4 linked regions of the Lepisosteus oculatus genome follow. The protein of the gene in region 2 interacts with the protein of the main gene of each other region in a pairwise test. Links are inferred from orthologs where the notes say so. Each region holds a gene or a part of one and is shown on either strand. Other genes may lie near its edges.

Region 1 (7,282 bases), on a different chromosome or scaffold from region 2:
AAATCTACTGACTGTGTATACCTCTCCTTACCTTATCTATGAACTCAGCAACATCAAAGCAGTTCTCTCTCAACAAACAACTGTGCGATGAAATGAAATGTACCTCTTGGCAGTATCCGTTAGGGTGCTGGAACACTACATTCTGATTGTAGAGAATTAATGGAGCAGAAAAAAAGATGGTGTCACTGGAAAAAATAAAACTGCATCTTCATGTGTGTGCTTTAGGTGATAGTTTGATGCATTTGTGAAAGCTAAGAAAAACACTAAAACAGAAATAAAATGCTGTTGCTAATGGGAGAGTTTGACACATGAGGTCTCCACTACTACCATATGATTAGTTTATAATTATGTTATAATTATTTTACTACTAATATTATTATTAGTTTAGACTGATAAACGTGGTTTAACTCAGATAACCAGACATTGCTTGTTAAGTATTCACTCATTTTACACTGGGACACCCCATTTACATCTCATTTATTAATACCCCTGTACTTCTGTAGTACCACAAGAAGTCTCATGGTTGCCTCAGGAAGGTGTACAGGAAAGAACTATTTGCCATTTGTGTGCTGTGAAAACTCACACGTGTGAATGCTCACATGACACTGGGAGACCCTAAGCTTCTCCATTTGTGCATCAAACCAAGGACATCCAACCAAAGAGGCATTCAGCCAGTGTGCACAGCTGTTTGGGATCAGCCTAGGAACAGTGGTGCACACTGTCTCTATGTCTATGCATCACTCTGGTCCAAAGAGACAGCATTGTCTGGTAAGTGTTGTAGCAGACCCTAATGCCAGTATTAATTAATCTCTAATTAAAATGCAAACAAAAATGCAATGTTGAATAATTAAAATTAACTTTAAAGCAGAACTTTAGGTCCAAATATCACTGTAGCTGAGAGAATGCTCATTTTACAAACAGATGGGCTTGGGGAGGAAGTCTTTTGTTTCTGTGAGTTAACCCAGGATCCTTCGATACAGACAAGCTGTCCCTGTAGCTACTCCTGGAGCTACCCATTGCCCCAGGAAAAACCACCAGTGTAAAATGAAGCAGTAAATGCCACTTAATTAAAATTTAATCCATACAGCACTGCATATTAATTTAATGTTAAATGAGACATTCATGCCTTCAAATAATATTTAACTAAAACCAATAGTCATTTTAATAAGAGAGTGTAAACAATGACAAATGTGACCATATACAGTATAAAAAAGTGATTACATGTCTGAGTTTCTTTATATTCTACTAAGAGTCAGCTTAGGGCCAAGTGTTAACAAAATTCACTTTTCCTGACAAATGCATGTTGTGTCTTTTATGTTAGTTGTTTATGTTGTAGTGAAAGGAATAAAGCACGATTTAACATTTATTTTCTGGAATGTCCAGAGAAGAGCATCCAGGTGGATTAACAGACTTGGCACTGGCTAAAGCAATGAGTTTTTTGTTTGAATGTTTGAACAGAGAATAATGTGCCTGATCCTGGTCCCAGTTTTCACAATCCTCAAAAGAAGTGACAAACTCAACCCACTGGACTTGTGAAACATAAATCGGAGGACCCAGCACAAGTTAAAACTCTGTGGGAGTGCATTGAAAACTGACAAAAAGAGGCTGTTCTTTGCACAAAGGGCTGTTGGAGTATGGAACGAGCAAATGTAAGTGTGAGTTCACAGCAATCCTTTATTTTTCAGATGCGAAGGCCAGGTTTATTAACCATGTTAAGTTGCTGAGACAGAGTCAGTGATTCCGAAATGTGTTCTTGGTAGGTTCATTGGAAACTGACTGGAGCAAGGTAGTTAAAAGCAGCTTGCTAATTATTAAAGAATTAACTAATTTAACACTGTCTCATCAATTTATAGGCCATAAGCCAATTGGAAAGAATACATTTTTAGAAGAGAGGCCTGAGAGTCCCTTATTTTTATATTTTGATGACCATACAGCAGTTCTTGTACCTAAAGAGACATAGGCTAAATGTCCCTTTGTCTGATTAAAATAAGACCTTTTTTATTTGCAGAGGAAAAGTGTCTCTTTAGCTCTGGGCTGCAAAAATGCAGTTTTCCTTGTCCAGGTTTTTAAAGTGAAAACCAAAAAAGCAATTCAGTTGCACACTCCCTCCATGACTTTAGCTTATATTTACTCCCTTTTTATGTTCTTTTGTCTTATTCGAAACTACATTTTTTTTGCAGACAGGAGGAATGCTACAGATGAGATGCGGAATCTGATTAGATGCCACACGAAAACCTGCCTGTCTACATAATCAGAAGAGTGAGCTGGTGTCCTGTATTACTTTAAATAAAATTGAGAAAAGTAAAACAGAAATAAGTCATTTTAAGCTAAACTTTAAGCTTCTTCAAACCAACCTTGAAGTCGAATGCAAGCTTATTCTCCATAATAGTAAGGCAGAAAAGTTCTGAGACATTTTCCTAAGAAAACAGCAGAGTCGGAGAATGTTTGTTAGACATGAATCTGGACACAACTGAAATGGCCTCAAATTTGATTTGTCTAAAACTGTATTTAGCAGTCAGCAAAAGGGAATATGGCATTTGGTTCTCAGCAATGAAGACTTGACTGTAAACTAATTCTGCCAAATTACCTGAAGAACAGTTTGAGCATTTCTATTTTTTTGCAATCCAAAGACAACAGATGAAACTCCACAATTTTCCAGCAACAGTTCATACCTGAAAAAAAAAACGGATTATTTTTTTTAATTGTTTGCAGAAGATCATATTTCTGATTTTCCACAACGGCTGTTTCTGTGATGCTACGTGTAAATCGAAATAGTACCTCTGTACTTTTTTCACTGTGCTTAAACCAAAAATTGCCGGGTATACAGATTTTCTTATACAGTTTATTCGGTTTTAAATTCTGATATTATAGTTTATAGTGTAAGTAAAGCCACAGAAAGAATGTAGCATGAAGGGCTTAAAACTGTGAGGAAAGTACGAATGGATGTCAACAAAAGAAGCAGCTCCCTCTACTGGTCCTCCAGCATTATTAGGCAATGATTATCAAAATACTCAACCGTGCTCATATAATAATAATAATAATTGCTTACACTTATATAGCGCTTTTCTGGACACTCCACTCAAAGCGCTTTACAGGTAATGGGGACTCCCCTCGACCACCACCATTCATAGACCTACCTGTATCATCTTAGTAAACGTTTCCATCAATGTATCACCAATTAGTTTTAATAAAGCAACTAAACTAGGAGAAATGTATCAGCTTTTCTAGCACTATTCTATTTTCACCTTAACCTTTGATTTGCATCAACAAAAAGGCTGATAGTGTAACGAAAGGAGTCAAGCCTCTCCAAGCAACACACACCTTTCATTTTCTCAGCCAGCTTCAACACAATAAATTGTTCTGAGGTGTGTGAGTGCTTAAATCCTGTGTTAAACATGCCAGGACATGCTTATTTGGAAAAGGCATTGACTCAAGGTGTGACTCATGTTGCTCTAGATAACCCCTATGACATTAAAGATTAATTGGTGCACAGTAATGACAGCATACAACATACTGTGCTATCTCTTGCACAAGTGGCTGAATGAAAGATGGGAAAGAAACATTCATCTCTTAAAACTACCAAAACGCATCTTCATCAATGAAACCAGAATTTAAAGGATAAGGTCCACATTTTGACCTCCAAATACTATGACCCCTTATTCATATTGCCTTAGGCTGCCGGTAATCATGGCTTCTCGTTCTCTTTAGTTTTGTAAGTTATTTCTAATGAAGAAGGGGAAGATACAATACTAGGAACAGTTATTGATAACTGGGTCTACAACAGGCAATTTTTTTTACAACATCCCACAAAAGATTGGACTAGCTGATAAAGCCAGATTAGGCTTCAATGTGCATCTACAGTATGCTACTGCAGGGCCACACATTCTCAGTTAAAACCATAAATGAATGATAAAAATGATGTACGTACAACTGTTGCCATCTTTCAACAGCCAAGGCTTTGAATTGCAATGAACAAATGCAAAGTTATTCAAAAGCTTCTGCGAATATAACGCTGGAACGGGGTATGATAATATGTTTCGTTCCAGTTTCCTCCAAACAGTTATAAACCTCTAAGAAATGTGAAGATAAATGACACAAAATCATTGAGTACAACGGTGATTGTGATTTGTGTGTCTCTATTAGGATGGGTAGCAAAAACACCACTTTTTATTAGCGTCTTAAAACCTCTGTGGATGCAAACCTATTTATATTTCACGTCATTTAACAGGTGACAGCACACACTTAAGTGTCAAACTTCCTGACATCGTTCTCCTCGCTCCCTCCCAAAAAACCTTCTCCAGTTGAGTAACTACACCTTTCCCACATCGGAGGAGAGGAAGTTGTATGCCTCCCTGCTTCCTGTGTTGCCAGCGCTTCAGTGTGTTAAAGATGTAAAGATGGCGGAGCTACAGATGCTTTTGGAAGAAGAAATTCCGGCAGGACGGAGAGCTTTGCTCGATAGTTACACCAACCTCGAAAGAGTCGCAGATTACTGCGAAAACAACTACATACAGGTAAGTTGGAGTGGGTTTTCGGTAAACGGGCTGGCGTTGAGAGGCGAGCGACCTGTCTCGGGTTGGAAAAGGCTGTGGAAAACGAGAGGAGGGATATTGCTGATGCTCTCATGTTGTGCTCCCCTTTGCGATGTTTTGCTCAAGTCCAGATTACAGCTCTTTCCTTTGCTGCAGAGGTTTTTGGACCCATTCGGTGTGTTTGCATTGACATATGTTCAGTTTCCAGGAATGCGGGTGTAGTTTGAGGAATGTAGTGCTTGTGGTGAAGACGTGTGGTAAGTGTGTATGGATGCGTACGGTGGGGGTTGAACATTTGAAACGGACTGGGAATGATTCAGTAAGTTGTAACACGATAAAGTAAAAACTGATATAAATCAGAACGTTAAATATCTAGATTCGTATAGATTTTGGAGGAAAAAAAACTCCCCTATTAGGAAGCATATGCCAGATGCAGGGATATACAGGGAGCGTCAGTATCAGCGTAAACCTGTAAAAATGTCTCTTTAAATAGTTTTTTTAAAGTTCAAATTGAAATCAATAAAGATCAAAAAGTGCATAGCTACTGGAACATTTTTTTTTTCTGCCGAGTTATGTGTGCATGGCGGCACGGTGTTATTTAATAAACAGGTTTGTCATCTGTCAATCATGGCTTGCTTGATGCGGTGGTGTGTTATTTTCTAGGAGGGTGTCTTGGAATAAACTGCCAGCATGCAGGATGTAGAAGATCATACTATAGGTTTAAAGAGTGGCAGCCCCAGCCTTGCATTTCAAACGCACGCAGCACAGAAAAGAAATAACTTGGTTTCGCTGCATTTTGCAAAGAGATATCGCGTCCGTTTTGGTGGAACGGAGAGTTTAAAACAACCCAGTGCATCTGATCATGATTACAGTCCGGTGATTAATACATTGAAGCCGAAATCTGTGACTAGCCAGACCATTTTTGACCCCCCACTTGCGGGTGATGAGAAACAAATGGGGATTTTAGACGTTTATTTTGCTCCGGAGTTGATCATCTGTGCCTTTGAAGTTGCGATATTGTGATGTCGGCGACGCTTGCGAGCTGTTTCGAGTTGCGGTAGATGTATTTTTTAAAAATTTACTGTAGTAGTAGTAGCAGCAGCAGCAGCATCTTTAAAAAAATTGCCATCGATGAGGTCAGCTGCTACATAATCAAATACCTCTTGCCTCCTGGTGTTTGCCGCGATGGTCGCTAATTGAAAACTATAAATATAAATCAACCGAGGGTTCACTTTTCGGTGACCTGAACGCACTAGAATAAAACGTTCTCAGCCCGAATCAAGTATTTATGCCAACTGTATTTATGTTACATTGTTTTTTATTTCTGTCGAATTAAGGGGTTGACCTCTCTGACACAAAATGCCCTCGGGGTCTTGCTCGACAGCATTACACAAATTCGTCGGATTTTAGAAAAGCTAATCTGATGTCTTTTTGAAGAACATTTTAATGTGATTGCTGGTGAGCTAAGCATATTAATCGGGTCCCGGCTGTGATTGGTTTTTAAGGTGACTGAGCAGTATCAATAATTTGTTTTCCCCCGGGAATATGGGTTGTGACGCAACGGCGTGTCAGAAAACCCACACGTATCGGTTGATATACAAAATACGTCTATTAAAAATATCAAGTATCGTATTTGATTGTGCATGCACAATCGCGCGTGCTAGATTTTTCTCGTTTTCTTTCAAGGGTTAATTTCCAACAGGAAGGATTTCAGATTGTGCATAAATGCATGAAGGGGTTATACGCTTTTCAGTTTTTACACATAAATGTGAATTGTAATGGTTATTCGACGAGGGACGCGGTTTCATTATCTTGATATTGAACACTTTGGGTTCTGTGTCTGTATTTACATGGTTATAGGCGAGTCTTGGCTCTAATGAACACAATTTAAAGTTAATTTGATAATAATCCACAATTTTACTCCTTTTTATCAGCCCCAGTTTCTAAACAGCAATATGACTTTCTCCCCTATGTTACTTAACTTTAACGTTAAAATACCACTCCAGTAATGTGTGTGGTTAATTAAGGTAAATGGACGCTTTAACATCATTGTTTGGGTAGACGGGAAATTTTAAAAGGCAGTTTGCCACAAAGCCCCCATGATTTCGCTTTAGTTCTTGCGTTTCGTTTGTGATTTTGTTGCTGGAGACAGGACCCTCAAAATTGTCATTTTTCCCTGAAACCAAAGAGGGACTGGTTCAAAACTCATAGCTGCCTTTACCCATGGCTGAGTGCTTTATCTGGATGCAAGGGTACAAAGCAATGTCCACAGCTTAATCTCCTGTGTCTTGAACCTCCTTCTCTGCCATCCTGAAAATAGCCCATTTGAACTTTTTTTTGTCCCTTTCTCCTCAAGGGACTTGTGTTATCAAGGAATGTGGAAGCTATTCCGAAGGTTGATTCCCGATTTGCACCGGAGTCAGAAGTGCTGAAGGGTCTGTCGTGGGCAACGTTGAATTAAGCGCTCGTGAGAGAATGTGATCTTAAAACAGTTGGTCCCGTGTGCCATAATTTACAGCGATTTGTGTTTTGTAATAAAGGGAGGATGTGTTTCTTTTCTCAGCATTGTAGCGGGGGTTTGTGTAATGTTGGGCAAAAGACAAAAATATGTAGACACAAAGCATCCCATTATGGTATTTATATACAGATTGTAGATGTGGCATGTATATAATTTTCCTTGTGAGGTAAGCTTCGTAGGATGGAACATCTGTCTGTTTCAGTTTCTTTAGTCTCTGTGGGGAAATTGCTGG
Region 2 (6,883 bases):
CCAGAAGCTTACCCAGTACTCCTTTGCAGGTTTTATAGGTAGACTTAAAATCTCAAAACCATGTTAATGCTTTCTAATTAAGATATTCAGAACGTAGCTGGAACAAAACCACTAAATAACACTGCCCAGCACAGACAAACCAAGTCCATAAAGACCATGTTGTATATAAATACCAGATTTTATTTTTAAAACAATATCAAAACAAAATATTTAGCAGAACAAAAGCCTGATGTTGAGACAATTTACTTCCTAATCATTAACAATGGAAAAAAATGTATCTTTGCTGCTTCAATACAAACTTGCATGTTCAGAAAGGGTTTACATCTGCGAGTTCAGCAAGGACTGAGGAATTTTACCATCCCTAAAGCAATTTGTGGCTCAGTATGTCTACTGGTAATACAGCTCCAGGTTCATTCCATCATGGATTTCATCTGTTTAGAGAAGCAAAATTAAGGAAAAAAGCACATTATGCCCTTGATGGGGCTCTGCTGCTTACATGCTTAGAACCAAAGCACTACTACTATAACAGAATGGAGGCTGAATCACAGGCTGCACAATAGATCAAAGGAAAAATCTGATAAGTCTTTGCAAATCCCCAGTCATGTTTTGCAACTAAATTAGTTTAATGTACAGTAAGTATTCACAACCTGCAATAGAAACTGTTAATCAACCTGTCAAATCCAAAGGTTGTTAAATAACCTTACTGAACATTTTCTCATCCCAGAGCCTGGCACTAAGGAGTCTTGATTGGGATGCTCTGGATAATTCATTTAAGACACAAGGTGCCAATGCTGATGTCTGAAATCACAGATGTGTGCAAGCTTCACAAAACTGACATGGTCACGTGCAGTTTGTGCTGCAAGTTGGGCTGAAATTTTACAGGTTCCTGGGTTCCTAGGATCTCCTGCTCACCAGTCTAAACAGCCTGTATTCATTATGCAAGCAAAAGCACCTCAAGGCTTTCAGCGGACCTTTCAAAATGCAAGAACCCAGCCTGCCCTGCCTGCACAACCATCACTCGATTAAACCAATCAATTCCATAACAGTTACTTTGCATTTGATCTCAATGGGATACATAATAGTTTTGCCACTTTTACTGCAGAAATTCATCACCAAATGCTAATGCTAGCTGTATGTATTTAGTTCAGCAAACTGGGCCAATGGATTATGCCAACAGCCATATCACCCTGCAACTCACAACTGGCAAACCACTAAAGCTAAGCAGGGGTGAGCATGATCAGTAACTGCATGTGAAACTAAGGTTTCTGCTGGAATAGGTATTAGAGAGGCCAGCAGGGGACGCTCACCCTGCAGTCTGTGAGGGTCTTAATGTCCCAGTATAGTGACGGGGACACTGTAATGTAGGAAGACACCATCCTTCGGATGGGACATAAAACTGAGGTACTGACTCGGTGGTCATTAAAAATCCCAGGGCGTTTCTTGAAACGTTTAGGGGTGTTACCCTGGTGTCCTGGCCAGAATTCCTCCTTTACCAATCATGGCCTCCTAATAATCCCCATGCCTGAACTGGCTTCATCACTCTGTTCTCCTCCCCCGAGAGCTGGTGTGTGGCGAGTGTACTGACACGCTATGGCTGCTGTAACATCATCCAGGTGGGGCTGCACACTGGTGGTGGTGGTGGTGGAGGGGAGTCCCCAATACTTAAACATTAAGTGGAGTGTCCAGAAAAGTGCAAGGAATTATTCAGAACAGGGAGGCTCATCTTAAACCTGATTGATATACCTTTACTTTATACATTCAAACAAAACGATTAAAAAAAAGGATACAGTCTCCTAACGATACATGGTCCTTGAATATAGTGTACCTGCAATGACAGAATTTAAGAGACAGGATTAAAAATGTTTTCAGTTGTGAAACAAAGCATTGAAAATGCTACTGGGTGAAAAAAAGACATCCTTCAAAACATTTAATATGCTTCTTACACTAAATGAAAGAAAGCTAACATTCTTTTACATGTCTTGGACATTCCAAGTGTATTGATAGGGAACAAAGGCATAAGGTGTTCACTACTCTGTTATCTTTACAGGTTTCTCCAAAATCCCATACTGCAGTCCCCTGTGACAGAATGACCTGTTTTTTCTGCAGAAAGGATAAATAAGTACTTGTCAATTTACCAATCTAGACCACTTTATCCTTGAGATACACACACAAATGCCCTAAAGGTACACATTAAAACAGCTTTTTGCAGTTCGGTATTCAAAGCATCCTCACCATTTCTTCAAGACGATTTTATCCCACCTGGTACCAGTCTGAGCAGCTATCAACTTCTTCAAGTCTCCGATCGTGTCGTCAGGGCTGGGCGCAGGAGTTAAGTGGAAACTTCAGAACTGGACACAAAGCCTCGTCTGAATAAGCTTTTTAGTCAAACCTCCTCTAGAAACAACTTCTCTAAAACTAGTGACCAGCAAATATGACAGTTGGAAGAGGAAAAGTTGGTTGAAGGAAAAACAGACTGGTTTCATTAACCGAAGAGGAAAACAACATCAAGACTGAAGCGGTAACTAAAAATAAAACTTTCTTTAGATAGATCACATATATTATTGTATTCCAGGTGAGGAAGCTAGCTTTTACTGAACGGCGTTAGGACACCGAGCTTTCACATTGGAGGCACAAATAGTGCAGTCAGCGTTTGTTTTTAGTTTTGAGACACTTGTTTTAACGCAATTACTGCCATCAAGGATACTTGCACTTCACCCTGACCTTCTTGCCCAGACGGTCGTTACACACCACTTCAATCATTGCGAGGCCGGAACCTGGAAATAAAGACGCAGAGCGCTTACAGTCGCAGCTGGGATCATGGCACAGACACGCTTGTAGTTCCTACAGCTACACGAATGTTATTTGCCGTCACAACTCTTCTTGTGCCGCAATGCCGATCCCTATGAGAATGAAACTGCTGCAGTCATGCATGATCTAATCACCCCCTCCTCGACGCTATCTGAATTAGAGACAACATTAATTTACCTGCACGTTTATTTACTTTACGGCACAATGCTGTGAACATCTTAAATGAGACTTTCCTTAGCTATGGAATGTCCTGAACACACTATAAAATGACAGCACTTTGTAAAGATCGCGATAAAATAGATCTACCTTTTGTTTCAACTAATCCACTTTAAATAATACACTTCTCTTCGCCCACCGAAAAAAATAACAGAATACCATACCAACACTGGCAGGAAGGATACCCGCTCTAAAACGGAAAAGGAAAGGACATTAACCAATGATAGACTACTTTCGGAATCTGACAGATGTATATGTTAGCCAATCCCTGTGTTCTTTTAATCCTGAAAGGCGGGGATTTGAGCATGTTAGTTTTCTGCCGTAAAGTGTATTAGATTAACGTGAATAACATCTCGTTTTGCGGGTAAATTGCAACTAACGCCATTTTGGCTCAGTCGTGTAACGTCCATCAGATGCTAAAATGTATCGAGTTGGAAGCCAACATGGCGGACACACAGACACAGCTTCACTTTAGTGTCTTTCTCTTAAAAACCTTAATGTCCATAACTACATTTTCGGCAATATTGTTGTTTCCAAAATCAGATAAAGACCGCGACATACAACTATTATAAATTAATTTTAATAGTGTTTAGATAAATTAACTAATTGTATAAAAGCAAGCCGTAGAAATTGCATATTAAAGGCAATACACCAGTAGATATGAACCGGCACCACCAGTTATTTGCAATGCGAACAACACAATGCAGTAGTTTTTTTTGTAGTTTGTATTCATTGCGGGCGCGGGCTTTTTTTTCCCTGGGAGACCAAATAGTGACAGCCCTTACTGCCCCCGACTATCCGTGTTGTCGAATAGGGTGGTAGGAAAAGCTGCCCGTCACTTTCGAGGCGGCCAGTTATAAAAGTAGTTTGTGTGAGAAGAGGGGGAGTTGGCCTCTGGTGTGCGCAGAGAAAATGGCAGACGACGAGAATTTACCTGCGGGGTGGGAGAAGCGAATGAGCCGCAGTTCAGGTAAATGAAACCCAGGCTCACCGAGATTATAATAACAAAGGGGCGGAAATCTTTTTGGTTGTTTTTTTTAACCCTGGGCGCTCCCAAATTGTAAACTTTTTTATTTATAAAAAAAAGTCCGTTATGCGCTAGCATTCGGATCCTGAAGAGCAGACTCTGATCACAATTAAAATTGTTAAGTAAGGCTGCAAATAATGTTTTTTTTAATTTCCCCCGCCGTGCAAAATGTTTGTTCACACGCACTGTGGGGTGCAGGAGATAGTTTCGTGTTTTGAATGCGTTGCGAATGAGTTGCTTAGAAAGCAACGGTGCAGAGCTTCTTTTTTGCGCCTTTGCCGAAAGAGGGTTTAAAATTGTGCCAAGCCGTCATTGATGGGGAAATATGAGTCTGTGGTTTTGCTTTTAAGCACATTTTTAAAATGAAAACACAAGAAAAGGGAAACGTTTTGAAAACGGGGAGGAGGGGGGCGGGGGTTATAAATCGCCCAAAACGCCCACTCCTTCAAACGTCCAGGCCAAGTCAGTCTCCTGTCCGGTTTTTTTCCCGTAATAAACAGGCTCATAAGATCGATTCGAAGGTTTGTTGACGGAAATGACCTTCCGTCGGGCGCAGCACATCCTTCGGTTTCTGTGTTTGTTTTGACGGATTCGTCTTCTGCGTCACGGCAGCAATGGGACCGCAATGGACGTGCGGGATAATGCCTCTTGGCTTCCAGACAGTCCAGTCACCTGCTTTCCGAATTGGGGAGACAAACTCAGTGTAATCAAAATACAGTTTGAGAAAGAGGACATCACTCGGTCCGGTCCAGGTCCGGTTCATTACCTATGACTCCTCTTGACTGGGAGCTCGTTACTGATGTGTACAATACACTTACACGCAGTCGTTGTGTTAGGGCACTCTGGAAGCTTTTAATTTTTATAAAGCTGTATGGGAGTTCAATACTTGGAATGCCCTTTATAAAAAGTATTTCTTCCTTTTTTTTAGGCTGCCCTCATATCTTTTTTTTTTTTTTTAGTGGTCTTATTTTCATTGGTTTCTGGCTTCTAGCTCACTCCTGATGTTCTCTCTCTCCCCCTGCAGGTCGGGTGTACTACTTCAATCACATCACCAACGCCAGCCAATGGGAGAGGCCCACTGGGGCCGGGGATGGCAAGGGGGAGCCCGAGAAGGTGCGCTGCTCCCACCTGCTGGTCAAGCACAACCAGTCCCGCCGGCCGTCGTCTTGGCGACAGGAGACCGTCACCCGGACGAAGGAGGAGGCCCTGGAACTCATACACCGTGAGCAGCCCAGGCCCGAGACTCGGGGCCCTCTCCGCCTATTAGCATGTGCATGCGCAGCTCTTGAGTCCTGCACACAGCAAAACTGACTCCTGTCCTGAGCCCCGCTGCGTTAGAATATGGCCATAAGAACAGTTACAAACGGGGGGTGGGGGAGAGGGAGAGCATTCAGCCCATCTAGCTAGCTTGATTGTCAGTAGCCAGTAATCCATGGATCTCAGCCAGCAGTTTCTTGCAAGAAGCCAAGAGGAATTGGCTTCAACAGCACGGCAGGGCAGCTTGTTCCATACTCCCACCACCCTTTGGGTAAAGAAGTGCCTCCTGTTCTTGGTTTTGTGTGCACTTCCCCTGGTTCGGGTTTCGCTGTTCAATGTGAAGAGCACCACTGGGCTGACTTTGTTGACGCCTTTGAAGATTTTGAAAGTCTGTATTGTTCCTTTTTGGTCTTCTCTGAAGACCTCAAAAGGTTCAGTTAATAATAATAATAATTGCTTACACTTATATAGCGCTTTTCTGGACACTCCACTCAAAGCGCTTTACAGGTAATGGGGACTCCTGTCCACCACCACCATGTGCAGCATCCACAGTTCCTTCAGCCCATCAGTGTCGGACGTTTCCTTAATCCCTGGAATAGATTTGGTTGGTCTTCTTTTTGATGTTTATCTTCTGGAGGAAGCCATCCTAGTAGAATTACCAGGAATAGAGTGCAAGACTGTGACAAATCACTGGGCACAAAAAAGAGGAGGCACAGGCATATCAGTATTTGGCAACATCTAAGTCAAAGAGTTCAAGTGAGCATTTAGTAAGTTGAGTGTTCTTAACTCTGCAGCTCTTACTTATGTCTCCTGAAATCACGTTTTTACTTGCAAATAAAACGCCGCTGCTCCATAGTCATGTACCGTTTTGAGGATGTCAGCGTTTGTGAGGAGGTCGCTCTGCTTTTCCTCTCCTTTCTCCAGGCCCTCAGGCCCCCTCGTAGTCTTACTGTCTCCCTCCCTTTTTCCTTTCCCAGAGTACATCGAGAAGATCAAGTCCGGGGAGGAGGAGTTTGAGAGCCTGGCGTCCCAGTTCAGCGACTGCAGCTCGGCGCGCAATGGCGGAGACCTGGGCACGTTCGGCCGAGGTGAGTCCCTGTCTGTCGCTGTCCTTCCGACTCCACGCCTCACGGCAGAGGTGCAGCGGTTCAGTGAGAAGTGAAACTGTGACGCTGGATCGTGATCCCTCTTTGGTCTTTTAGGACCAAGGACTTCTTTGTGTTTCTCCGTAAGGACTGTTGTGCTCACAGTCAGTCTGTGTAGGAGTATGTGAAGGCTAATTCCTTCTTCAGGCTTGACAGCCAAAACGTTTTCCTCTTTCTGTTTTTCAGGGCGGAGTTAAGCTCTACTTGTCCCTTTGCAGCCAGAGCAAGCTGACGTAGCTCCCCGCTCAGTCATCTATATAGAGATGTTACTTTGTAATGACAATCGCATTTTCAAGTGTGCTTTTGGCCCGAGAAGGAGGTGGGGATGATCAGTAACTTGAGTACGGTGGAGCGCAGGTGATGCCGGTCCTTATTTTGGCAGGAAGTGTTGAGCTCGTGTAATCGGCCTTCCTCCGTTTTCTTCAGCTGG
Region 3 (7,621 bases), on a different chromosome or scaffold from region 2:
TAGCTGCCCTGGGCTCTGTAGCCACTCTGCTTGATGCTGCTGCTCCCCAGCTGCCGGTTGTACTGGGAAGTTGGCGGCATGGCGTAACTCTTGTAGCAGTGGGGCGTCTGGCTGCACTTCTCCACGGCCGGGTAGGAGGGCGTTGAGGAGGAGAGAGACTGGGAGTGCTGGGGGAAGTGCATGGGCCCCTGGGTGTAGGTCATGGGGGACGGGGAGGTGTCCTGGGGCAGTTTCGCTTGGGGATGGGTGGTGTAGACGGGGGGGTTGGGCTGGGTGGGGTGGGCGCACTGGCTCTGGGAAATGGGGAGCAGGGTCTGGTCGAGGTACTGGCCCCCGCCGGGCCCGCCGCCGGCCGCGGGCTCCAGCCGGCCCACCAGCTCCTGCTCGTACTGGGGCAGGTGCGAGTGCGCGGAGTCGTCCCACTTCTGCGGCAGGTGCCCCTCGCTCATGTACTGGGCCGGGTACGCTGAGCCCAGGTGGCCACTGTAGCCGCCGGCGGAGGGCCCGCTGGGCAGGAGCTGGCCCGGCAGTTTGGTTCCCTTGTATTGCTTGTCCGCGGGGGCCGAGCCGCTGCCGTAGGCCGGGTAGGCTTGCTGGCTGTAGCAGTCTTTCGTCCCCGCGGCCGCGAGCGAATGTGCCTCGTAGCCCTGTCTGGTCTGGCTGTGATGATGTCTGTAATTCTCAAGGCGTGATAATTCATGTGTCTCCTGCTGGTAGCACTGCTGGTTGCCATGGAAACCACTCCGTTCTCTGAAGGACTGCATGACTCCGGCTCGGGCTCCTCTCTCTACAAACAAAACACAAGAGAGAGTGCTTACTTCCAGCTCCCCGCGCTTGTGTGCTTATATTTACCCCCCACCCCTCCTCTGTCTGTGGTATCGACTGACGTGAAACTCTCTTCGGAACGTTTTCGGGTGTCGCGTCCTCTCTTTAAGAGGGGCGAGCTGGTATCCCGCTCTGTGCTTTATGGGCCCACACACGCGTGTGGTGCTTGTCTATGGCATGACTCCGAAATACCTTCTACCTTGAAACACTCTTTATTGAACCGACTAGTTTCTTTAAAGGAAAAAATACAAGTGAGCATTCTAAGCACAAAAAATAATTCATTTGCACCGAAGCGCAGAAGCACTGAAGCACGCAAGCAAAGCTCCTGACTAGGGGGAAATGTTGTTCCCTGTTGAATTCCCGATGCTTTTGTGATGAGGGCTGGAGAAACCTGGAGATGCAGCCGCTGCCACAGCAAAGCAGAGTGATCTCTGTTTGCAGCACAAGTCCAGAGTCCCAGGCTGCTTCGGGCTGGTAGCTGCAGCGACATGCCAGAACCGTGAGATTCCCAGTCGCCACCCCTTCACCAAGGACGAGGTCGCTGGGAGGTTGGGGCCACTTTTAGACATGGCAGGAGTAGAGGCCAAGACAACATCGTTATCGCTCGGGCAGTGGGCAGCACGCCGGGTTCTCACATGTGGCCACGAAGGAAAAAGTAAAGTAAAATTCCACTGTCGTCTCTTGAACCGAGGGTGTGCGTAGTAAGAAATCTACATGTTGTGAGACGATGAATATTAATTAGCTCTGGCTGTTGCACAGCACCAGAAAGTCAACCTGTCTGCAGAGATTTCTGATCCTGTTCTGTGCATGTAAATCGGCCGTGGAAAGATGTTACAATTACTGTATGTTAAGGCTTTGGCCACTGAAAGGTTTCTATCTACCTGTCTCTAACTGGCCTTATCCATTTATGTTCTCACAGCTGAACCCTATACAGAGTCACGAGGGAGCTGGAGCCCATCTCGGAAAGCAACAGGCACAAGGCTGGGTCCAGCGCGGGGCACACAGACACACACTGGCACCAGGGCCGGCTGTCCCAGACAGCGCTTCGGCTGTTGGCAAGTCTCTGGACTGTGGGAGGAAACCCACGCCAACACGGGGAGAACATATCAACTCCACACAGACAGCACCCCTGGTCTGGAATCGAACCCAGACCAGACCAGACCCAGACTTGGCCAGCTTCCTTGCTAGCTAGTTGGCTCCAGCGTTCTGATTATCTTGCAGAGCCATGAAGAATAAACAGCGCAGAGTGAACAAGGGTTGGTGATGCACACAAGGGGAGACGTGGAAATGAAGAAGGCAGGAGCACCACCTCAATCCCCAGAGCAGGAGAGTGCTCTCGTTTTAAATCGACCTCTCCAGCCTGCCCCTCACTCCCTGTGCTGCTGTTGGATATTCTTATCTGAACTGCTTGCCTTTTAGGACCTGTGGGAGGCAGCTGATCAGGAATCATTTTGACTCTGCAGACAGAGTATTGCATTTTGTTCTTTGCACTTCAGTACTGAGCCTGCTGAGAGATACAATAAGCATCGATTGCGTTCCTCTTATCTGTCTCTCTTTGCTGTGCTTTCTGCACCTGCTGGGCCACCGCATTTCCTGGTTGACAGCAATATGTGTGGCAGCGCCCTGCTGTCCGCTGGTATAGCTGTGCTCCCAGTCCTCTCCAGATTCCTGCAGCCGGGACATGCTGGTGACTTCCTGTTTATGTGCCAGACTGTGCAACCTTGATTGATTTTGCACAGGTGCCCCTCAGAGCCTTGGCATAGCCCAACCTGGGCTGTGTGACAATGAAGAGCAATGCTATTTTTGTCTCAGTACTGACCGTAATCTGAATGATATTCTATTGTATTTCATTATACTGCAAGATGAGCGTGATGCTGTGTCCTTTTGGAAGGTAAGATGACTGTTCAGTAGGATACATTTTCAAACTCTTAAAATCCCAAATTGGATTAACTCACAAACACGAAACGGCCGTCCTTTGTGGAACAGACATAAATGGACTTTATATGCATCAGGTATTACAGCTGATAGCTGACAGCATTCCAGGAAGATACAATCACTAAGTGCTGGCTTCCAGTTTCACCTGGCCTGAAAGCAGGCTTTAGATGAACTCACACGGTGTTTGAGCCTTGGAGTCTCGAATGAGAGAGCGCATCAGTCCAAACATGCAGTTCAGCTTTTCGGGATATTCCGGTCCCCACCGTTCCACAACCTTGCCCTGCCCAGCTCAGTATTGCTTCATTAGCTGCTAATTTCTGCAATTATGCACAGCAGCGGAGGAGTGCAGTCCATCACAGCGCTGGTGCCCGAGCCCGGGAGGGTGGCGAGGAATGTGAGCAGATCCCTGGCTCAGAGGGAGGCGGAATCCGATCGTTCTGCTTTCTGGGAGATAATCCGGCACGCACGGAATGTGGCGGCCTCGCCTGATCCCATCATCCCTCTGGCAGCCTGAGACGGGATTTATCCTCCTCCTCCGCCTCCCCCTGCCCGGGTCTCTGAGTGACGCCGGAGCCCCAGCGGGACTCCAGCGCACCTCCCTGCTCACAGCGCAGTCGCCTGCTGGAGCTGCTGGTGGGACTGGGAGCACAGGGCTCCTCCAGGACCAGACACAGCCCAGCACAGCTCTGCCCTCGTTTTGTACTGCATATTTACGACCTTGGAATATGCTAATTCTTCTGTTTTTATTTAAAGAGCCTGTTCTAAATGAGATTGTGTTTTCCCCCCACTTTCTTTCCAGTGTGTTTGTATCATGAAATTACAAAATGCTTCTAGTTGGATGTGTCACACAGCTTGGTTACTCTCCAGGAGTATTCTCTGATCCCCACATCATTTGCAATTATTCTGAATGTGGTTTTATTTTTTTTCACGGACGAAGGACCAGCTGCTGCTGTCGCTGGCCCGATCCCTGCGCCCGGCTTCCTCGGCCGGGGGAGACAGCAGGGCTGCAGCTGAGAAGAGGCTGATCTGAGGAAGAGCTGATTAGCTGTCGGTAGCGTTGCAGTGCTCACATTCATGGAAAGGCTCTCCTTCGAACCCGGGACAGAGTTAAGAGTAGTGCAGCCCCAGCCACCACCAGCGCAGGTGGGCAGTGGCAGCAGGGGACTCAGCTGTCCACCCCAGCGGCCAGCGCTGTCCACTCTGGACCTCAGGGGTCACCACTGTCCACTCCAGACTCAGGACCTCAGCGGCCGGCGCTGTCCACCTCAGCTGCTCTCTGGACCTCAGCGGACGGCGCTGTCCACTCCAGCTGCTCTCTGGACCTCAGCGGCCGGCGCTGTCCACTCCAGCTGCTCTCTGGACCTCAGCGGCCGGCGCTGTCCACTCCAGCTGCTCTCTGGACCTCAGTGGCCGGCGCTGTCCACTCCAGCTGCTCTCTGGACCTCAGCGGCCGGCGCTGTCCACCTCAGCTGCTCTCTGGACCTCAGCGGACGGCGCTGTCCACTCCAGCTGCTCTCTGGACCTCAGCGGCCGGCGCTGTCCACTCCAGCTGCTCTCTGGACCTCAGCGGCCGGCGCTGTCCACTCCAGCTGCTCTCTGGACCTCAGTGGCCGGCGCTGTCCACCTCAGCTGCTCTCCAAACTGTGTCATCAAGCGCCAGATTGTGAAAACAACCTCCGGCACACACGGAGCCCCTCTCCAGAAGGTGCTGTCAGCTCCCAGCACTTCAGGGGTTCAGGTTACTTGTAAACCTGTATTCAGAGCTGGAAACACAGTTTCATTTTGTTTCTAAAGGTCTAATTAAGCAAATTGCCAGTGTGACTGAGTGATGGAGTAATTGAAACCGCAGTAGGAAGGGAATGCGGAAGACAGCGGGAGCCCCTGCACTAGGGCTGGGGAAACCCCGGAGACCGGAGCCGAACCGGGCCGGGTCACCAGTCCCTGGACTGGACCTGGGGGCAGGCTGTCGGCCAGACCTGAGGCTCACCGCAGTCAATCACAGAACTACAGAGTCGGTTCTGGAGAATTAGAACAGTAGAGACATAAACGGGAGTAAAAAACAGGGCAAATGATAGTAATTGAACAAGCAATAGAGAGAAAATTGCTGTCTGATGTGCGCCAATCTAATTACGGTATGCTTGTAATTAGTGTTAAGTATTTATCTTTTAAGTTAAGGAATTCATTAGAGGATTATTAATGACCTCCCTCTCTAGTTGTGCGCAGTACACCGAGAACATGGCTGTTCCTCAGCCGTGCCCGCCCTGGGGGTGTGTTTCGCCCGACGCGCTCCGATGCGTCATCCGGGAGCAGACCCGGCCGCCCTGCACGAACACCCGGATCGGGACGTGGAGGCCCGTTTCTGGGCTAAGAAAACCCGTTCTCCTGCCCTCGGTTCGGTTTCGCACGCCGAGAGCGACGCCGCGCAGGGCTGTGTGGAGAGGGCAGGTTCCCGGGGGGCAGAAACAGCTCGGTATTCAACAGGGGGCACTACCTCATCTAACCAGCAGGGGGCATCTCATCAGCCCAGCGGACGGAGTGGCTCTGCGGTACTGAGCCCTGGTATACAGTCCTGTGGTTGTGCTCTGCACACGACGAAACGTGGCGCCCTATACAGAATTAAAAGAGTGAAGGATTAATTGAGCTATTAGTGTCGGGAAAATGTCCTGGTACATTGCTGTTTTCAAATTTGTGAATTTGTAGGGCGCACCTCAAATTTCGTTTTGCCATGGAGAGTAAGGAAACGTTCTTATTTTTTAGAATTCGTGTCTGGTTTTACCCAGCCTGCGTGAAACCCCACGGCCGCCGGTCTCAGACTCGCTCCTCTCCGGCCCGCCTCGCCACCGCGAACACGAGGCGCAGACCAGCTGGGGCTCTCGGCAGAGCGACAGCCCGGTCCGGGCCTGAGGGCCGGAGAGCGGCTCCACCACACGCACACAACACCAGCGATCAGGGACGCTTCGCTTCCTACAAAACGGCAATTGATATTCGAGACACAGCCAGGACTGCTTATACGACAGCCAATGGGAGGCTAGAAGACCAGCTCAGCGACGTGTGGGGATCACAGGAATGTTCTTTTTCTGGCGTGCAGTCAGATGAGTCTCCCCCTGACAGTGTCAAGGTGTTCGGGGCATTGCTGCTGTTACAGGAAACAGGCAGAGCTCCTCGCTTCGCTTTAATAAACACAGCGCCGCGCTGACAGAAGCCCTGTCGGGGTACAGACTGGTTCCCTGGGCGCTACCTGCCGCTCCAGGTGGGTAACCTGCGCACCACGTGCTCGGTGCGATACAGCAAAGGGAGTGACATATTGTAGTGCTGTGTCTCGACCCTGTATTTAATGAAGAACGGGCATCATACACCTTTACACCGCTCTCACTCTCGTATGCCCACAAACAAGGCTTCTTCATGCAGTGTGATTCGATTTGCACAGGGCTGATGGAAAACGTACTTAAAATGACAATCCTGAATCGATGCTCGCTTAATCGATGGATTCTGCTGCTGCCCGATGGTTGATAAGGGCTTTGCGCACGTCAGCACAGACTCCAATCGACACCTCCTGCGCCCAGCTGGCGCGGCCGCTGCAGGTGGACAGTCCGGCCGAGGCCGTTTCCCTCACGGGATTAAGAAAGTCTCTACCAGCGGGGTCCCCCTCTCTCACTTCCCGAGCGGGGTGCGAGGGGATGTACCCCTGCAAGCCTGTGGAGGCGAATGAGCTTCCCGGTCCCCAGGGACAGCTCGTGCGCCCGGCGTTGCGGGACGAGGGAGGGCGCGAGGCTGCCTTGGCAACGCTCCGAGCGTGTTCCTCGCGACTGGCGGCCGACGCGCGCCGCTTCCCCTCCTAGCAGCGCTCACACGCACCGGTGACATACTGCACACCTTACAAAACAAACAAACTAACAAACTAACTAACAAAAACGAATGGGGTGTCACGGATGCATCGTTCTTCGCCCTTCGCTTTGCATGCTGCAGGTAGATACAGGACGAAGGGCCTGTGGGAAAAAACGGTGCATTTCGCCGCAAACCAATCACAGCCCTGCACGAGCGCGTCTTGTCGCACACGCACGGGAGCAGCGGGGCTGCGCGCGAGAGGGGCCCAGGCCGGCCTCGCGGCCCTTTCCCCCAGAACAACTTTAAACCGTCGTCACGAATTCAAATAATCAAAGACATCGTCATTGTGATTACTATGATTACTATTATGAAACAGCAAAGGCCTCTGGGAAAGCCGGCAGCGTCGCGGAGCGGAGAGGGCGGAGAGTTGCGGAGGGAGTTCGGGTCCGAACCTCTCGCGGGGCACCTGAATCCCGGACTCTGGACCGGAACCAGGGGTGGGAGAAGTAAGAGCGTCACGTTTATTCGACGGTACCGCGGGGCTGCGCTGACCGGGCGGCGTGAGGCCCGCTATTCCGAGACGTGACGTGGTCCCGTCGAGTATAAACAAACGCGCCTCCGGTTTCGCTGGCTGTGGCTCGGCTCGGCTCGGCTCGGCTCCAGACCCGTTTCTAAACCTTCCAAGCCGAGGACACACGGACGAAGCCCAGAAATAGGAAATGAGCAAGCCTGCCGCTTCTCGGGGTCGGAGGGGACAGGCCCTGGTCAGACCTCACTGGAGGAGGAGCAGCAGGGAGCCGCACGAATGCAGGTAAAGGGTTATTCCGGGCCGAGAGAGTGTTTCAGCTGTGGAGCCACACAGCAGAAGAAGGCTCCACAGCTGAAACACTCTGTTCTCGTCTTTTCAGTATGTATTGAACTTTTACCTGTGTGCCCCCAAGTGTAGCAGCGTGCTCACAGTGGATCTGCAGACACGCTTTTAATAGTTCCCACTTAATCATAGTGTTATTCTGGATGAATTTACTTCATTATTGGT
Region 4 (7,600 bases), on a different chromosome or scaffold from region 2:
AATTGTCCTAGCACGTCCATCCACCCAGCCCCCCCGAGCTGGAAAGACGTGGCAAGACTGACCAGTCGGACCACTGGCAGCGGGGCGGGGCCGAGCCGAGCTCAGGACACTCCTCATTTAGGAGAACAGGGAAAAAAAGATGGGAGAGCTACCAGATCTGTGTGTGTGTGTGAGAGAGAGGGGTGTTCAATGAGTTGGCAAGGCCATCCACATTCAGCCTAATCAAACTTGCCTCTCGAAAAGCTCGGCAGGCGACGGTTTCGCAGCAGACAGGACAGCCTTGACTGAGCTGGGCAGAGGGCACAAGCGAGTCTCACCCTGACGCACAGGAGAGAAAGGGCACAATCCCGAAACTATCCGCACAGCGCCAGCGCGTGCATTTCAACCCCGCGTCTGAAAGAAACAGTGGCCACACAAAATTCATTTCACCCCAGACATCGCCGAGTCCCTTGATCAGAGAACTGGTACTTCGCCAGGGCGTTTCAGCCCCTCCAAGAGAAATGAGTCCCACAGCAGGATACACACAGCACTGACCTGTCTCGGGAGCTTTTATTACAATAAGCACTAAAGCACATAAGTATGAAAGCATCATGAACTACTACACAGTGTAACAGAACACAGCAGCACTCACTTAGAGTTAACTTTTTTTTTATTCCAAAGTCACCTCACAAAATATTACTCACTCTAACTCCTACAAACAAAAAATACCCTCATGTCACCCCAGGAGTGATCTATTACTAAATCACTTACTGAAAGCAAAATGTCACACCCGAGCATAAGTCTGCACTAGCATATTTCTCTCGACAGGTCTTAAGCACAGAGTTTGGCACAAAATGTCATGTACCGTTATCAATAATTCACAGCACAGTCAGCAACCCCGGGTCGAACGCTACCCACCCACATGGACAGAGTGAGCTCAGGGTCCTCGCACTCGTGAAAACACAAAACGCCATCTGAACTTTAGCATATTATGAGTAATCAACACTGAGAGCCGCAGCCGTCTCTGAACAAAACCGAGATGCAGCCCTGCTCGCAGATGCTAACAGGTAACAGATTAGTCAATGGCATTTGGGCAGTCGTCTCCATTTCTGAGCGAACTCTTTTTAAAACTCTTGCAGTGACAAACGATAGGGTCAGGCGGTCAGTCCGATGACGTTTTTGCACAGGGCTTTTAACAAGTCACCGACACACGCTGCCTGAGTTTTGGTGGACAGCCATGGGCGAGTGATCCGTGCTGTGAGGAGCAGGTGGAGGTGTGGTATCGACCCAGCTGTCCGCCACAAGACGCGATCGGATGAGGGGGTTCAGTGCGCTGGTGGACGCCGTCTCAAAAGTGGGCTACAATACGATAATCGTAGCCCTCCGAGAACAAGAAAGTCTGTGCTGAATTCCGAGGAGACGACAAAAAAAAGTGTACACAAAATTGCCTCCATAGCCAACTACCGACAAGATACATGCTCAACACCTGGAAACTTTCTACTGTAATAACTACTCCATCTACCAGAGAAAGCGTACTCTACAGCCAAGAACTTAGATCTTAACAGTTTCTGACTCGCTCTGCTGAATTCTTTTGACGGGCTTCATCATCAGAAGCCAACATCCTTGGGGGAGAAAAACAAAACTACGAAACTGGCCAATCTTGCTTTTCGTCACGAAACCGCGGCATCATTCACGTCGCATGCTGGGTACAGGTCTCCAGAGCTCGGCAGGTATCCAACCAGCACCATTTAAAATACCCTCGCTACAGCACAAAAACATTTCTCACGGCATCCCCATCTCGAGTGACAAGACGCAGAAAAGTACGAGGAGGGTAAATAGCACAAAAAAAGACCCCCCAAAAAACGTGACTGCCAGACATCGGGCAGGCAGGTCGTACTCAGGCAGGCTAGGTACAGCCAGCTCAGTCGCACAGTAACGTGTGCCCAGAATGAAATAACAATTGGAAGACATTTTGTACGTCCTTGTAATACCAACACACACTGATGTACGGGAACTAGTTCTCTCTTTCTTTCTTTCCTTCTTAGAAATGTGGTATTTCCCAAAGGCACACCAGGTGTCTCGACCGCGGGGCCTTTGTTAAAGCGCCTGTAACACACCGCGAACTACACGAAAACGACCATTAAAAACGACGGCAAAAAAAAAAACTGTTTTCTTATTTCGGATTTCTCACACTCTAACAACAACAAAAAAATCAAAGCCCACGCCGATCCGGTATCGCAGATCGGGTTGTCCGTTCATTCGCCCTCTCCCCGGAGCACGATTATAAATCAATACATCGTGGTAAAAACAAAACAAAACCACACGCACACACTCATATACGCACATCAAACACGGAGCAGCCGCCGATGGCAGCAACAATGTGGACGCAGCGTCAGTCTCTTACCTTGGACGCGAACTGCCTGCGGTCGCCGCGCGCCGGGGTTCAGACTGCAGGAATCTCCGGGCAGCAGCACGCGCTACTCCTTTTAAATATTGCACTGCGCGGAAGGCGAGAGCAGCTTCTCCTCCGTCCTCCACTCCCCACTCGGAACGGTGCGTGTTCTTTTTTTTAACCTTACCTCCCCCCCCCCTCCTCCGCTCCTCTCCTCCTTTTCCCCCTTTTTCGCTCGCAGTCCTCGATTACCTCGGCTAAGTTGTATTTTCCATGTCGTTATTTCTTGTAATCCTTCGTTTTCCCCCCCTGTTCTCGGCTCTCGTTATTTAGCAACGCGACAGAGCTCCGGAGCTCAGCCTGGACGCGGGTGGCTTGCGGGGAGCTTCGCTAGAGATCGTCCCCGGACACTGCATGAGTGGAGAGTGAGAGTTAGCCTACATACAACGCGACTCGTTTCGCTGCTCTGTGCACAGGCAGTATTTGCCTCGACTCCACGGCTTTACCTCCCTCGGTGTTGCACAATGGGTTGCTATAATTTATTCATGAGATCATGAGGGATGTTGGTTCTCTGTCGGAGGAGGTAAAAAAAGACACTTTTTTTTCTTCGCCTTCCTCACTGCCTTCCCGTCGTCCGCAGTCGCAACTAACCGATCGCCTATCCGATCACAGCTAGAGGACGTTCGCTCCCTCCCCTAGTTTCTCTTGGCTCCGAGCAAACCCCACGGTGTTGAATGAAACGCGGGTCATTTTGGCTCCTGAAACAGAGCCTGTTCCCGTTCCTTGATCTAATCCCGAAGCTAGAGCCAACATGGCTGTCTGTTGTGAGTTGAAGGTGGGGGTGTCGAGGACTGCAGAGTTTTGGGGTTTTCGGAAACGGCGTGATTTCTAACTTGCCCGTCGACCCTTTTGAGGTGGAAAAAGGAATAACATTTGAAATGTGTTGTAACCGCGTTATTCTATCACCGCACATTTGTTTTAAGTGCAAAATAATTGAAGTCTTATACAAACATTCGGCATTTAAAACAAAATAATTTCCCACTAATAAATGATGCATTTGTGTGTGTCCGTTATTCAAAGTGAATTAAAAACAACCACAACACATCAGGAAGACATCTTACCATGTTATTTGGACACTGACGTTTCATTAAGAAGTACCATCTTTGGTGTAATTAATCTCAATACTTTTGATTGAAACGTATACATTCTTTTACACAACGATAATTTTTAGTAACAGTGATGATTAAAATGCAGTCTCACAATAACCAATGATGAAGAATGTCATCATAAGGAAATCTGGGTTTAAAAATAAGTGGGAGACGGTGTGCTATGATCACAAAATAACACACTAACAAATGGTGTCCCTGTACAAAACCCATACTGTACATATTGAAATACCTCACATTTTAATGTCAAAAATCGGCTCCAATCATGTGAGCTGTTCTTCTAACAACTGTGATTGATATAGCACAAACCACTAAACAGGCTAATGTTATTTCTTCTGTAATATCTGTGTTGACAATAACAAATGATAAAACACAAAGTAGAGTAGAGGAGTTTATTGCCACATGTACATGTACATTGGAATTCTTCTTCACGTGTTTATCTCAGTACAGCAAACAACACAGTCCAACAGAAAACACCTCACAATGTAGACAGTACATTACAAAATGTTTCAGAATAGAAAGTGATAGTGTGTACAGTCAATAAACAACCAGAACAATACAAACACGGTAGAGAACAATTTATACGTGGTGAACAAAAACACACGGTAGCCCAAGTCAAAAGTGTATAGTGCAGAGGTGCATTGCGTTCTGGGACATTGCACAGTTAGCTGTTTATGATGCGCACTACCATAATTTAGAAGCTGTTCTTAGGACGTTACTAGAGGACACAAGAAGAATCTACATAGAAATGGATATAAAACTGCGAACGGAGGGTATTTCTTTATGCAAAGGCATGTGGCAATGTGGAACAAGCTACCCAGCCATGCTGAAAGAGAAACATACTCTTCCTCCAAGAAATGGCTGGACGAGTTCTTCTGATCAATTAGCTGTTAATTTCCAGGATGGGTCTCCTCTCGTTTCCAACTGCTGTTACGCTCTGATATTGTGTTTTTGTTCACCACGTATAAATTGTTCTCTATAAATTGGCTTAATTACTCTGCTCTCCTCCCCACTGATGGCTGATGTGTGGTGGGCGTTCTGGCGCACTATGGCTGCCGTCGCATCATCCAGGTGGATGCTGCACATTGGTGGTGGTGGAGGGGATCCCCATTGCCTGTAAAGCGCTTTGAGTGGAGTGTCCAGAAAAGCGCTATATAAATGTAAGCAATTATTATTAATTATTATAGCTATAAAGATTCATGAATGTAATGTCCTTCTTTACAAGTTTGTGTCTTGTCTTTGTGCGCACCTTGTCATGGTGCCTTATGCCTCCTGTTTGCCCACTGCTGCCTAAGAAAATAATTGACATCCTTTCTGACATGACCTTCCCTGAAAAGGGCAAGATTAGTCCTGACAAATTAAACCTTTCATTTACTCAACGTGTGATCTCTTTCAAATCTTACCACTAGGCAACCACTAGGTATTGCATTGATTTCAAGAGGAGAAGGCTACATTACTAATCAGTATGGCTCCCTATGTGCCAGATCATCAAATACCCACTTTGCAATTACGAGCTCCATACCTACAAATGGAGAGTAAGTAGGTTCATACTGGAGTGTATAAATACATAAAGTTTCCTCTCAGGTTTAGCCGTAAGTGCCTCTTGAGTTTAAAGTTATTAATGCATTGAAATCCATGCCTTGGATGAAGAAAATAAGTTTCCATGTTTTGTACTGTAGGCGTTGGATGCTTTGGGTGTTTTTATGTGCAGTGCTTTCAGTCAATAAACTCATTGGCTTTGGAACTGTCTTCCTGAAAGGACAATGAAGGCTAAAATGTCCTTTCTGGATATACTTAATGGAAATTGAGTTTATTTTATTTGAAATGTCATTGCCTTTGAGAACGCCCTGGCTCTGCTTTCACAACTGATTTACTGTAAATTGATTTGCTGTTTTCAGTGAACGCTGCTGCCACTGGGCTGTACCTGAGTGTCAGGCACAGAAGGCCTACAGTACTAGCATGGAGCCGAGTTCCTGGTGGTGGTCAACTCTGCTGAACTGGCTCGGTCCACCTTTCACCCAGCACATGTCAGCATGGGGCAGGAGGATGCAGAGAGTGTCCAGCTCACCCCCGGCAGCCTACCTGCCAGCATGTCAGCACTGCAGCTTGAATAGCAGGGGGGACACTGGGGAGGAGTTACCAGGCCATGAACAAACACAAAGAGAAGGTCAAGAAAGGTCACACCCAGTCACACCCTCATCAGGACTCAACAACACCGGGGAAAATTCCATCTGAGAGGGAGAGAAAAATCTCAGGAAAGTAGAGAGACACAGACAAGGAGATAAGGAGCAGGACTGGAGATAATGACTGAGAAAGGAGACAGACAAACAGAAACGAGGGGAAGAAGAAGAAGAAAGGCTTGCACAAGAGTACATGACAAACACATCTTACCTTAACCATCTCCCACATCCTTTCCACTCAAACAGAAAGCTACATTGAAGGCTACACCATGTGAGCCAAGCAAATCCTGCCTCAGGAACAGTGCCAATATTTCATTGACACAGGTTAAACTCTGGCTTCTTTCTCAGTAATTTCATACAGATTTTCTGACTTGACCCACAGCTGTTCCAAGATTTTACATCACCTCAGTGGTAAGGATCAGCTGATCCATTATTAATTACTTGATTAACAAACTTGTTCGCTACACTAGGTTTCCCAGAGTCCCTCAGCTAGTGGCTTACTCCATTTAGACTGACATATGAGCAAATAACACTGTACCACTAATATTAGCAGTACCACACAGATATACCATCCACCAGGACACAAAACACTTTTGCACATGAAAATCACTGACTAAATCAGTAAAAATCTCTTTGCATTGAGAAATATCTTGTCTTCTTAATTACGATTGAAAGATGACTACAGCTTTGTATATGCAGTATTCAGTGCTTCTAGTATCCACAACATTCCTGCCATTTTAATGCTAATACTATTAAATATAGAACTTCATCTTTCCCATGCTTGGGGCATGTTGTTGATCTCTTCCTTGCCGAAGACCCCAGGGAAATATTCATTCATCAGCCATTTCCTTTATCATCTCAGAAACTTTGCCATTATCATAATCTCTGAGACATAATTTTTATCCTGCACCATTCTTTTGCCGACATGATACGTGTCACAACATGACACAATACTTAACAAAATAAAACTTTATTTATTACTCTCCATTGCATTTATTTTTCTTTCCATTTTCTTTTTTTCTCTTTCTTGTGTTCTGGGATATTCTGTTTTAACCAAACCCTATATGGTTGGAAATATTCACTTAACTGTGCTCCATTTCTTTAACTGGATGCTGTACTTTTTGAATCACTCTATAAAGTACCTCCTTTCTCCTCACATTTTTCTTAGTTTATTACACTATATGGACAACTGCTTCTGATGGGAGTTACTCATGGGATTAAAGTAAAAAGAAATAATCAAAGTATTGCCATGCATTCTATGTAAAGTTTCAAAAATGAAATGTAAAAAAATGTGGTCCATTTTATGATAGTTACCACAGTTACCTAATGGTTCTCTCATCTCTGTTTTCCTCACCCTGTCTTGTTATAGATGATTAAAACGACATATTTATTCCTTACCCTAGCGTCCTATGACAAGCTCACTAAGCTGTTGTATACGTGAATTGGATATTTAAAAATGGGAAAAAAAGTTAAACGATTAACTATGCACTTGTGAAGTCCTTAATCTATTTTGGGGATATAAGTGCGCGGGTATGCTTTAGCCTTAATTACTCATTTACCTACGTAAGGGTTTCAGTTGAACTGTTTCTCCCTCTTACAAAACGTGGAAAATTGCACGCGGCGCAAGCCACAAATTTAAATGTTCACATTTAAACATGTAGTTGTTGAGGATCTGTTCTTTGTTACGCTTCCTTAACGTCTGAAATTGTGGTTCCACCTTTACAAAAAAGAACAGTCTCTAAGACATCGAGTCAATAAGGCACTTAACCAAGCGAGGCCGGAATGGCCTGTACCACATCCACACATGAGAGGTGCAAGCGTTCGCAAATTTTATTGAGAAATTGTAAACACCTGCGTGTCCTCGGTAATACATGGGCATTTCT

The links.
Region 1: the proteins of pin1 (region 2) and abi2b interact in binary tests that used the Homo sapiens proteins (3 or more experiments, as listed by UniProt). The link is inferred for Lepisosteus oculatus from reciprocal best matches to the Homo sapiens genes PIN1 and ABI2.
Region 3: the proteins of pin1 (region 2) and retinoic acid-induced protein 1 interact in binary tests that used the Homo sapiens proteins (3 or more experiments, as listed by UniProt). The two-hybrid records come from large-scale screens. The link is inferred for Lepisosteus oculatus from reciprocal best matches to the Homo sapiens genes PIN1 and RAI1.
Region 4: the proteins of pin1 (region 2) and zmiz2 interact in binary tests that used the Homo sapiens proteins (3 or more experiments, as listed by UniProt). The two-hybrid records come from large-scale screens. The link is inferred for Lepisosteus oculatus from reciprocal best matches to the Homo sapiens genes PIN1 and ZMIZ2.

What each region holds. Positions count from the first base shown.
Region 1 is NC_090707.1:35,005,246-35,012,527, forward strand, and holds the start of abi2b (abl interactor 2), read left to right. Parts: upstream 1-4,276; 5' UTR 4,277-4,397; coding exon 4,398-4,514; intron 4,515-4,616; exon of another isoform or gene 4,617-4,789; intron 4,790-7,282. UniProt on the Homo sapiens protein: Regulator of actin cytoskeleton dynamics underlying cell motility and adhesion. Functions as a component of the WAVE complex, which activates actin nucleating machinery Arp2/3 to drive lamellipodia formation.
Region 2 is NC_090706.1:15,084,555-15,091,437, reverse strand, and holds the start of pin1 (peptidyl-prolyl cis-trans isomerase NIMA-interacting 1), read left to right. Parts: upstream 1-3,861; 5' UTR 3,862-3,936; coding exon 3,937-3,994; intron 3,995-5,075; coding exon 5,076-5,273; intron 5,274-6,285; coding exon 6,286-6,396; intron 6,397-6,883. UniProt on the Homo sapiens protein: Peptidyl-prolyl cis/trans isomerase (PPIase) that binds to and isomerizes specific phosphorylated Ser/Thr-Pro (pSer/Thr-Pro) motifs.
Region 3 is NC_090714.1:17,528,536-17,536,156, reverse strand, and holds the start of retinoic acid-induced protein 1, read right to left. Parts: upstream 3,019-7,621; 5' UTR 2,938-3,018; intron 788-2,937; 5' UTR 765-787; coding exon 1-764. UniProt on the Homo sapiens protein: Transcriptional regulator of the circadian clock components: CLOCK, BMAL1, BMAL2, PER1/3, CRY1/2, NR1D1/2 and RORA/C. Positively regulates the transcriptional activity of CLOCK a core component of the circadian clock.
Region 4 is NC_090697.1:69,338,014-69,345,613, reverse strand, and holds the start of zmiz2 (zinc finger MIZ domain-containing protein 2), read right to left. Parts: upstream 3,006-7,600; 5' UTR 2,384-3,005; intron 1-2,383. UniProt on the Homo sapiens protein: Increases ligand-dependent transcriptional activity of AR and other nuclear hormone receptors.